Linked DNA regions of Drosophila melanogaster. The protein of the gene in region 3 interacts with the protein of the main gene of each other region in a pairwise test. Each region holds a gene or a part of one and is shown on either strand. Other genes may lie near its edges.

What was found.
Region 1: the proteins of CG13476 (region 3) and Fer3HCH interact in a two-hybrid assay, tested with the Drosophila melanogaster proteins (one large-scale study listed by BioGRID).
Region 2: the proteins of CG13476 (region 3) and mRpS30 interact in a two-hybrid assay, tested with the Drosophila melanogaster proteins (one large-scale study listed by BioGRID).

The regions. Positions count from the first base shown.
Region 1 is NC_004354.4:13,106,681-13,110,392, reverse strand, and holds Fer3HCH (ferritin 3 heavy chain homologue), read left to right. Parts: upstream 1-2,198; 5' UTR 2,199-2,296; coding exon 2,297-2,431; intron 2,432-2,493; coding exon 2,494-2,919; 3' UTR 2,920-3,011; downstream 3,012-3,712.
Region 2 is NC_004354.4:15,783,838-15,788,989, reverse strand, and holds mRpS30 (mitochondrial ribosomal protein S30), read right to left. Parts: upstream 2,944-5,152; 5' UTR 2,819-2,943; coding exon 2,361-2,818; intron 2,197-2,360; coding exon 981-2,196; 3' UTR 702-980; downstream 1-701. Other genes in the region: Paf-AHalpha (Platelet-activating factor acetylhydrolase alpha), read left to right, coding at 3,930-4,325, 4,394-4,675.
Region 3 is NT_037436.4:14,703,516-14,706,657, reverse strand, and holds CG13476 (uncharacterized protein), read right to left. Parts: upstream 1,195-3,142; 5' UTR 1,115-1,194; coding exon 665-1,114; 3' UTR 501-664; downstream 1-500.

The DNA of each region.
Region 1 (3,712 bases), on a different chromosome or scaffold from region 3:
TAAATGACCAATTCGATTTTGCATTGATTTTCGAACAGTTTTTATGTACATATATATTACTTCGATTTGAATTGTTCCGCCAACCCTTTGAATTTTATTTACACTAGTCTTATGCCTTGTGGAAAGTTCTCAAATTTTCCCGCACTCATTTCCCCGTTTAACGATCGTATTTCACAGTTTTGCATGCACTGCGACTGACTGTAAATTCCAGACGATCGGGTGCTTGTAAATTAAAATTTAAATAAATAAACGCATTGGAAATTATGACCAGCAGCAAAAGTAAATGAATGTTAACTGATACACCGTTCGTATGTATTGTAAATTATTCGTATGTTGGCGACGGCGATCGAAGCCACAATTTATTGAATTGAACAATGTGCGCAAAGAAATACGTGATATTCTGAAATAGTCGAGACGGGAATACCCCTTAAGATGTAATAGATATTTTAGCAGCTTATATTTATACCAAAATTAAGATGGTACACATTTATAACACTTAATTATATACATACAATTGAATATTTTTTTAATATATAGTTTAATTTTTGGAACAAGTTTGTATGCTCTTTGAAAGAGTATCATGCCGACAATAGCTCAAATCGATTAAATATTTTCGTATGCCGTACGCTATTTTCGACCTCATGTTCAGCAAATTATGTTGGATTTTGTTTTTTTTTTTTTACCTCATATGCTGACGTTTGAGTTTTGTGTTAACACGTCGAATGTATATAAAAATTTTTTTGTGACTCCGCAGCTTAATTTAATGTTAATAATTTGTTGCACGTTTTTATGACACTGCAAACTGGATTGTTGCCATTATTTTGGAGGTGATGTAAATGTGTCGCTGAAGCTGTCACACTTGTCCAAATTAAAATCTTGTTGGCATTACGGGAGTGGAATTTGAAATTTAACTGAGTTCCGATGTGGATTTTGTTGAAATTCAATATGCTTAAGTAATTATAGAACTTTAATGCCTGTAAAATCTTCTACAAAATTCTAGAAATTTTTCTGTGTTCAAAAGCCTTTCCATTTGACCCTTAAATATTGAATAAGATAATAATTTTCATTTTTATTGCGACTGTTGCATAATGAACTAAACATGTTAATTGCCTCTATAAACACACAAGATCATATGTCATCGTTCACTTAATAAGTGTATATATTATTTAATCACAATCATAGGGAAAATTGTTTCATAATGCTTGAAAAAAAAAAACGTAAAGACTCATCTAAAAATGTTTGCTATTTTTTATTTGGGTTGTTATTGTCCAGTTCAACGATGATTTGCATAACTCCTATGTGTTTTTTTTCTCGGTTCGTTTTCCTGTGTGTCGGTGAAAATGAACCATTTATATCTTTATTATTGCCTTTTTATGGGGCGCACATGGCTTCAAGAGTCACCATTGCTTTGTTGGTTTTTTAAATGTGCGTAATGAGTGGATGTTTGTAGTAAAGTGCGAGTAGTTTTGACCACCTGGATGTTTATAGGAAATGTTTGGAAACCTCGGCTTGGGAGATCTTTACATTTTCAATACCCTAAACCTGTAAGACGCGTTGAACTCGCCTACGAAAGCATTTCATTTGAAATACAAAATATAATATTATGTTTTCTATCCTTTAATAAATTAAATTTCTTATTTTAACTTGCATTGGCTGTCGCAATTTTCTGTATCAGCAATATTTTGGGAAAAGCGTTCAAATACCCTATGAGAAAGGGTATAACACGATTATACAAAACTCGGACAAAAGTCGTCTTCCATTCACTTAATAAAAGACAATAACTGCGTTTACTTAGTGTGTCCGTGTTCGTGTGTACTTGTTGAAGTTAAAGCAAACATATCTGGACACAGATATTTAACTATATATGTACATATATACATATGTATCTGTATCTATAAGCTATACGTACGAACGTATATAGATGCGAACAAACCGAGTGAGAGATTGTGTACACACTATTGCTAAGTGGAAGTTAAGTGAAATCAGAGCCGGCAGCACTTTGAACTCCAACCCGTTGTTTTTTGGCCGTCCGAACGGTGGATCAACACCTCCTCCAGATCGCGAGATCGGAGATCGATGCGGAGATGTGAAGATCTGGATATTTGGAGATGAGATCAATGGACGAACTTAGATGGATCGTATCCGATCCATCGACACCTGTCCGAACCGACCCAGTTGCCTTTTAGACACACTGTTTGTGTTTTGACTTTCAATTCCAAATTGTATAGGTTTCTAAATTTTCAAAAACAAAAAAAAAAAAAAAAGATAGAAAAAAACTCAAAAAGAAGCAAAAGACATGGCGTGGTGCTTCCGCGACATTCGGCGCCACATGTGCATGCTGGTGCGTCAGAACTTCGCCAAAAGTTGCGAGAAGAAGCTAAACGATCAGATCAACATGGAGTTGAAGGCATCCCACCAGTATCTGGCCATGGTAAGGTTCCGCAGTCAATAGGGAATATATATATATGCATATAGTACGTTCAATACACGTAGGCCTACCATTTCGATCGCTCCGATATCAGTTCACCCGGAATGCATCGATTCTTCCTAAAGGCGAGCGTCGAGGAGCGGGAGCACGCGGAGAAGATCATGACGTACATGAACAAGCGTGGTGGTCTAATCATTTTGAGCAGTGTACCACAGCCGTTGCCCTGTTTCGCCAGCACCTTGGATGCACTAAAGCACGCAATGAAAATGGAACTGGAGGTCAATAAGCATCTGCTCGATTTGCACGCCCTGGCTGGCAAGGAAGCGGATCCGAATCTCTGCGATTTCATCGAGGCCAATTTCCTGCAGGAGCAAGTGGATGGCCAGAAGATTCTGGCCGACTATATTAGCCAATTGGAGAAGGCACAAAACCAGGTGGGCGAATTCCTGTTCGACAAGTATATGGGCAGCGGCATGCATCCTGCGAAATGAATACCTCAAAATGGACAACCATCCGATGAAGAATACGTATTATAATTGGCAAACCCATGTGTGTTCAGTAAAGATTCGTTTTTTGGCCGATCAATTGTTTTTTTTTTTTTTTTTTTGCTGCCACATTATCAAGTGGCTGGCGTAAAACTAACTCTATAAATATACTCGCTTATCGGCTCCAAGAGTTGCGCAAGATTCTAATTGAAATCGACACCGAAACTGAGTCCAAAAACAAAGCTTCACGAAATCAACAGCTAAACCCATCTGATAACCCTTTAGTTGGACCACAGTGTTGATGGTATTGGATAGTAACTCATCTGCTTTATCCAGTTCTGTAAATACGTTTCTAATCAAATGACACAATATTTCTGTTATATATATGATAACAGTTGATAATCTCGAATCTATAAAGATAAAAGTTAAAAGAAGCCTGACATTTAACTACGCTTGTTCTACCCATTATATAATAAAACACTTGGAACTTGATGATGAAGCAGTTGGTCTATATGATAAGCATTTGTGACGTATTAATAGGTTATCTATATCTATATAGATTGAGATCGTGAAAGTCGGCAAGACACGACAAATATAGTAACTCATTCATTTAGTTACATAGAATATAATATGAAATAAGTACAGAATTGCGAAACTTCGTTCTAAATCAAATTAAATTTTCCCTGATCTAATTTCCGAAATCATGAACCCCTCTGGAAGTTTGTGGGGGCATTCCCACATTGACCAACAAACTCATCCAGATCGTAGGGATCGTTCATTCAGAACTGAATGCTGAACT
Region 2 (5,152 bases), on a different chromosome or scaffold from region 3:
AGAAATATATATGCAACAGGTTACTGCTCTACCTTTTTGGACAACCGAAGCGCCAGATACGAGTTTCCGAACCACCGTAAAGTCTCAAACTGGTTATTTACTCGAGCCTAACTATTCAGATCCAGTGTGACCGTCGCACGGCCGTTATAACATACCATACGGTTAGCTGGGACGTTACCGAAATAACCAACAAGTGGTAACTTTTTCAGCAATCCTAACTTTGATGTAGTGGACTATAAAGCTATTATCGTAAATGTAAAACTACTATAATAAATGGGATAATAAAATAATCAAGTAATTAATTAATGCATACATATTACCAGACTAAGTAAGAGTTTGAAGTGTACTTATATGGAATATCATATAAACCTTAGTGCACTATTATGTTCAAACAATATATGATTTGGTAAAAAGATTTAAACTACACTATAGCATTATAAACCTTTTTTACGTTCGAAAAATATGGTTCTGGTGCAGTGTAACCGCATTTTACCCACTTTTTGAGATAACTTCGGTATGTTTGCAGTGCTGATAAATGAAATAAACAATGGAATCTAGAATAAATATGTGCTGCATAAACAATTAAATAATGATAAGAAGCATTGCATTGGCAAGTTTTAGCATCATCAGCACTAATAATTGGCAAAATTCCAGGTATTTGTATAATCATATCTATTTGAAAGAATTTAAGATAAAAAAGACTAGCTTATAAATTTACAGAAGTGTTTAACCACAAGCATAACAAAGTTAATAAATATATATACTTTGTATGGCATAGAATTTAAATTGAAATTTAACAAAATATTTATATTAAAAATCATTAACATACTGACAAAAGTTTGCGGAAAATTGAGTTAATCAAAGTTTAAAGAAACTTTGTACACCGTTTCGTTGCTCCGAATCTGCAATCCAGTATTTCACATTAAAAATTCAGCATTTTTAACAAGTGTAACCTTAGGAAGTGTTTTATATTTATTCATTTAAGGGTAGTACGTCTTCTTGAACCTGTTCTTATTCTTAGGGACGTCTGGTCGGACCGCACGTGGAACATACTCCTTGTCATGTGTGTCCAGCGTTCGCTGCCAAGGATTGATGTCCAGCTCGAAGAAGCGTCTCTTAGCCTCCATGGCACGATTGTTGTTATCGATCTTGTATAGCTTCTCCCACAGGTAGATTTCGGGCAGCTCCAAGTGTCGCGGTCGGTTTGATGCCAAATATTTGAAGGTCTTATTGATAAAGTCACGCTGTTCGGCGTTCTCATAGGCGGAAACGTCGGAGGCAACATACGGCTGCTGCTCCCCAATGCTCCGCTGAATCGATGGCGCATTGGCATAGAAATTGAGCAGGTGCCGCAGTGCGTTATCGTTGAAATCAACGCACTTGCCGCTTGCCGAAATCTCGGCGTACAGTGGAAGTGGCTTTGTACCGCGACAGAAGTTGACACGGGGATTTTCCGCCACGTTTGTGCCGTGCAGCAGCAGCGTATTAAGCTGATACTCATAAAAGCTCCATTCCCTGCCGTTCGTGATCACAGTTTGAGTGTTCATGGGATAGGTCAGTTCGTTGTAGGTGTTGAAGCCATTGTAGTTCGCCTGGGCCAAAAGCCAGGCGTATGACGATTTAATCGCCAGCGAATGCAATGCCTCCAGCTGATCCTGCTCGCCGAACGATTTCGGACGGATCTGCAGGTGTGCACGCGATTGAAATGAGAGCAGGCCGAAGTTATTCTCATTTCCTTTGGGCCAATAGCCTGGCACATTGGTGGCGTGCTGATGCTTGGTGCTGTAGCCGAGGGTTCGCGGGTCGTGCTTGAAACGGGGCAGCTGTTTGCTCAGCTCGAGGTTTTCGCTTTCCGCTTCCGTTTTCCACGGCGTCAATTGCTTGCGATGGCGTAGGGCAAGATACGGCGCTCCCGTATACTGAACCATCCGATCAACGCTCTCGTTTGCCATATCCTTTTGCCATTCCCGGCCCTTCTTCGATTTCTGCACGTTCTTGGGAGGATCTACGCCGCCAACGGCCCAGAACGCTTCGTGGCGTGGATTGTAGTCGACATCGAGCTCATCCAGGTGCTTGTACTCCTCGCTGAGCGACTGCAGCAGAGCTCTGTTCAGCTGTTCTACAATGATCTGCGTTAGGATGCGCTCACGTTCAACGGGGTTCGATTCGGCAGAGTTGTGTTGCTTTTCCAGATGCCTACGCTTGGTAATGGAGGAGAATGAATACATTAATATCAGACGGTCGAACTTGTAACTGGGACCACTCCAACCAATCCGAGTTCTTAAGTGAGTTGGACCAACTACTGTCCACAAACTCGCCGGAGAACTTGGTTCGTTGAAAGCGGACCTCGTTGTACCCACTTGTAGTAGTCGTGGGCAAACTCGAGGGCATCAATAACATCCCCGCGAGCCGCCTTGAAAAGACCATCCACGCTCGGCTGCTCCTGCTCCTGCTCGGAGTCCTTAGCCTGTGCCTTCTTATCCGTTTCAGATGGCAAATCCTCGAGCACTGTGCGCGTATAATGTTGCGTGAGCGGCAGTGCATTGTAGGGGATTTTCGAGTCGTTGAAGTCGACCACCTTGAAGCCGTAATAGCGGGGCATATTGATCTTGATCATCTTCTCCTCCACCGTCGGCACCTGCCGGATTTCCTCGTGCCAGTTGGCCGCATCCTTCTGCTTGCGCGCCTTGAAGGACAGATCCTGAATCTCCGGATATGCCGGCTCTGCGTCCGTACTATTCAGCTGCAGCTGCGACTGGCCGGACAAACAGCGCTTGTACGTCGTTCGCAGATGGCGAACACGGTTAAGCTTCAACATGCCGTCGAACCTAACGCAAGTTACGATTTATGTTTTCGAAGGAATAGAATTGACTTCAGTTTTTTGACAATAACTAGGTTATGTCATTGCTGCAGTGTGACCGCACGCTGGATTCAGAATAGGTTGCGCCAAGGTAGCGACGGAAAGTTTTGCGATGCCAGTGAAAGTAATGGTATAATTTCTATTTATGCAGTTCAATAATAATTCATAATGAATCATAGTCCTTTACTATTTAACGTGTAGGGGTACAAAATTTAACTTGCTTATGTTTCAAATCTTTTTATTTCTGAAATCAGTTATAAATCATCGTAATATTTTTTAAGCTGTCTAGAAAAAGCTAAAAAATAGTCTTGTTTCATTTGGTATATTTTCCCCTTGAAATAATGGCATATGGCTTAAAGGCACATGCCTTAAAAATCACAATTGTAAACTTAAATCAACAGAGATCAAAATAATTAACAGACTTCTCTGCGATAACGCTTTTGACAATTTTGAATAAAATGCACGTTACAAACAGTAACATATGTGACCGTGTAACGTTTTCGATAACGTATCCCACATCTTTTTCAGCTGTGCCAAGTGCAACATTGCTAGACAACACTTTCCAGCCCTGGAAAAATACCAAGACATCTACCATCTCTCTAAAAACGAAAACATAAACGCTTACCAAGAAAATCGTAGATTTTCTACACCAAATTAAAATAAACTTATAAAAATTTTCAACCTTAAATCCTTGGCAATTTCCATGTACACGAGGGTGGCCACATAATTCTACGACATTTACGGATGTTAATGTTGAGGTAACCTAAAACACAAAAAAAAAAAAACAAAAAAAAAATCTTCGCCATAAAAACGATTTATTAAAGTAAACAACGGTACGGAGTTGTTTATGCTAGCGACTATCAGTTCAATTGTTTGTCCACGACTGCAACGCTGTCACTGCAAGCCGAGCAGAACGCCCAAGTATCCGGTAAGACTAAGCCGCAGACGATGCCTCATTCATCCGCATGCTGAAACTGCAACTGAATCGAAATCGAAATAGGAATAGGAATCGGAATCTTTAACTAAAACTCAATATTGGTCTGCAACTGAGTCTGAGCACGCCGACGAAATGAATCCCTGTGTGCTGCCCACCCCATTGCCCGATCTGGATGGCGACAAGCGTTGGCACAGCATACATCGCCGGTTCATCTCCGATTGCCGCGAAAAGGATCCGGATGTGATATTCCTCGGCGACTGCATCTTCGAGACCGTCCAGGACACGGAGGCCTGGAATAAGTACTTTGCGCCGCTGCACTGCCTTAACTTCAGCATTCGCGACGACTGCACCGAGCACGTACTGTGGCGCATCGAAAACGGTGCGCTGGACAATGTGAATCCCAAAATCGTCGTCCTCCATGTGGGCACCAATAATGTGCGGAACAGCGCGGAGGAAGTGGCCGAGGGTGTGCTCGCGAACGTAACGAAAATCCGGCAAAAGCTGCCCAACGCCTATATCGTTTTGCCCGTAAGTACAATAGTTGTGGTATTAGCCAGCCGCAGTAAATCATCGACATTCCCATCTCTCCCTTGCAGTCGCTACTGCCGCGTGGCCAGCAGCCCAATAAGTTGCGCGAAAAGAATGCCAAAATCAACGAGGTGGTCAATGGATTGACCAAGGGCTTGTATCGCGTCCAGACGGTGGCCATTGACAAGGGTTTGGTCCAGACCGACGGCAGTATCAGTCATCACGATATGTTCGACTATAAAAATCTAACCAATGCTGGAGCGAAAAAGATATTAGAACCACTCTACGATCTGCTTTCTCAAATTCTCAACGAAAACGAACCTGAAAACGATCTCACCCCCTCCGAATAAAAGGAATATCCAGCAGCTATCCATTATATATATACATACATGCATACATACACACATACATATACCACAAACAATTCCCAGAATATAACTTAAAACCAGAAATGTATTTTTTGAAATCTCATAAGCTATAGAGCTGCGAGACTAACTCACAATTAAGCATACATTTTTCGTATCGAATAGTAAACCATCGCATATACCATTGCATTATGATATTATTTTACATTGTATTTATAAGAAAAGAAAAAAAACCGAAATGACTGTCATTGGGTAAAATAGAAGTTATCTTCAAGCATCAGACATTCATGGATTTTCGCTAGCATTCGTTTTTTTTTACGTTTTCCGTTTGATCACCCACAAATTAACTTTTGTTTGATATATTGACAGTATTCTTGTATTTTATTACTATTTTATGCATTGACAATAAGAAGTAAAGTTTAATGCAAACCGTGGGAGACGTTTGATAAGTGTACACGTAGT
Region 3 (3,142 bases):
GAAAGAGCGGAGCAAAACAAACCCACCGATGAGTGAGTTTGCTTTGAGTGAGAGAGCAGAGAGCCTGAGTCAACAGGTTGTTTTGCTGGTTGGGTCACTTAACCTCGTTACTCTTTGTATTCCTCTGTGGGTCACACGGGGCGTATGTGCAATATGGCTCACTCGGTGCGTATGTGTGGCGTATATGGCTCAAGTTTGCCGACAAATCGCCGACAAATTGTTTAGGAACATGGATGCTGGCTACGCACACGACTTGGATTACCAGTTGGGATTGTCTTTAACCCAGGCTGTGGGTTGTCACAGTGCGTATACGTGATTTTGTCTTGACTTTTCTGCAGGACAATTTGTGCGGATGTTGGCGTGCTTTTCTCTTTTCTTTCTGTTCATAATTTTGTATTTTTATGGTCATCCTAAGTTTTTTCGTTTCAAGGGTTTTAACATTTCGAACGTCTTAGAAACTTTCCCACAACTATAAACTGAAGAAAGAGACAATGGGTTTTGTCATTTCACCATGCAAATTTAATTGAATCGATAAAAAATATAAAACATTTGTAGCCCTGACCACCTTATTATTCCTTTTAAATGTGTGAGGTGGAATTGACAACGCATTAAATTAAGACGTTAGTAATCGAATTGGTGCGGTCTTGGATCCTATTTAAAATGGTTACTGGTCTTCTGTTATGTTTATATCAATAGAATCCGGCACATCTTTTGGATATTGCTGATTAAAATCAGACGCTGCAAGACTACGGTCATTCAGAACTTCTGTCTCGTCGGAACTCGGATCCAAGTCGAGAAACGCCTTGGAGATCATTTTGGGATTTAGTTCGGCATCCAGGTCGTTGTTCTCAACTATTTTAATCAAAATTTCCAGGAGCAATTCACAACACTTCTTTTCGTAGCCCATAACATTGGAAATGGCATTATGGATTGTGTCCTTCATTTTTAACAGCTCTTGATTCAAGTTTTCGATATCAACTAGAGCTTTCTGGGAACTGGCCAAAGAAACAGCAATGCGACGTCCCAGATCCTCGTGCTCCAGGCGCATATTGGTGGCATTTTCCCGAAGACATTGCAGCCAAATAGAACGCTTGGCCATTCCCCTCATGTTCATTGTGAGCGTACAAAATATACAGATTTTATTTGAATTTATTTTATGTGTGAATATCTGATTACTTTCAGGGCGTCAATAGTACTGGGAAACCTATTTTAGATCCATAGAAATGACACAGAGGCAACTGGGAATGAGTAGCCTGCTTGGGTGGCGCTACAATAAGATGACTGACATCAATTATATTAATTATCAGAGTAAGCCGATTAGCTGGCTAATGAATTAAACATCATGGGAATTTCCCGGCCCATCCTGAAGGCGACAAATCAATGTCACTTAAAACATATAATTATCATCATTAGCCGCCCAAAAGCATCGCACTCCTCATGAACCTAACTTTTATTACAGACTATTTTGCCAAGCTGATGGTGCTCGGTGTTGCATTCATAATTGATTGTCCTGTGGGCAAACGTGTCCTTTGCCTTTGCGTCCTTCGCAAGATAAGCACTTAAGCTAAATGAAAGCAGATGTCTTAATTTTCATTTAAGTTGCTGACAAAGAGATTTCTAAGCTGCTCTGTCAATGCCTTTATCTGCGACCTTCCTGGTTAATTTTTTATTTCGAATGTGCGAACGTAAATGAAAAAACGCTTGGTAATTGGTCAAAGCTCTTGATTCCGGTCCAAAGCAAAGGATTTCATTTTTAATGAGAAGCAAATATGTTCAGCCCTAATTGGATTAATGGGAAGTCCTGCGGGATCTAAACGGCTTGCGGTCTAGGTCAGAGTCAATGCGATAGGGGCGTTTTTTGAGTGAAAATGTTCGCTTTGTTAACAATTTAACAACTTTGTTGGGAATGGCTTAAAATTTTGTTGGAGAAGAAGGATTAAATCATCTATATGTGATGATGAAAAGCCTATTTATATATATATTATGTTATACTCGCATTCAAGAGATTTAAACACTAAAAGATCATATCTCTATATTCTAAGAGCTTTTCATGAATTTTGATTTTTATAATTAAAAAGGCGCAACTCGTTGTGAACATTGTTGTAGGCAAATGAAAAGTCCTTTTTAACCGGCACGATAATTAAATCATGCTCAAACAGAATTTGAACTGAAATCTCCATCATCGGTTTAACTTTTCTTCCGTTTCCTCCGACCGGAAAAAGCTCTTCCTTAGCTGTCAACTGGTAAATGCCGAATTCTATCAATTTGTCATTCAATCATTGCACGAACGTTGCTAAGCCGACTATGCAAATTGAAGTCAAGAGGCATTAAGTCCAATCCCAAAACTAAAACGCTACTCCATGACACAATTGTCAGGGTTTTATCGGCTTATTTCTATGCATGAGTGCAGACACTCACAAGGACACGTTTATACCCACACAAATGCAGAACACTTTTTGAAAAGGAAGAAGCTTTGGCAATTTTCCGATTATTTTTTCTTCCATGTCGAACTTATGTGAATGCATATATAAGAACATCAATCTTTTTTGTTAGTCTGAATTAAGAGAACTTTATTTCTGATGTGGATTGCAAATACTATTCGATTTTAAAGTCGAATTCATATTTAAGAGACTAAGGACGTGTTGACTTTTGTTTATAGTGAAGTTCAAAATGTACCTTATTTATTTATTTTTTTTCTTTTATATATATTTGCCTCAATAAAGAACCTACAAACACCTTACATATAAACACTATAAACCTGAATATGTATGAAAAAATAATTGAAACCAGTTTGATTGATTGGCTGAAATATAGCAGTTAACTAAGGTTCTGCGCTTTTGATTATTTTGCATCCCCATTTGGAGCTTTCTAAAATTGATGTGCGGTTGGCAGGTGATTTATTGCGGCTTGAAAAGAAAAGGGACTATTTATTTCTCTGCCTGTGCTTGCTTATCAAGTTTCGGCAAGGTCTTCATACTGCGACACATATTTTGTTGAAATCCTATGGTAATTCAATCATGGCAACCTTTTTCACAGAAACCAACATAATTGACGGAAAAATTCGATAAACCAGATGTTATAGGTCAGAGAGAGTAGGGTGATTTGGGTCAATAGAAAGATGACAGATCTTCTAGATATTGGT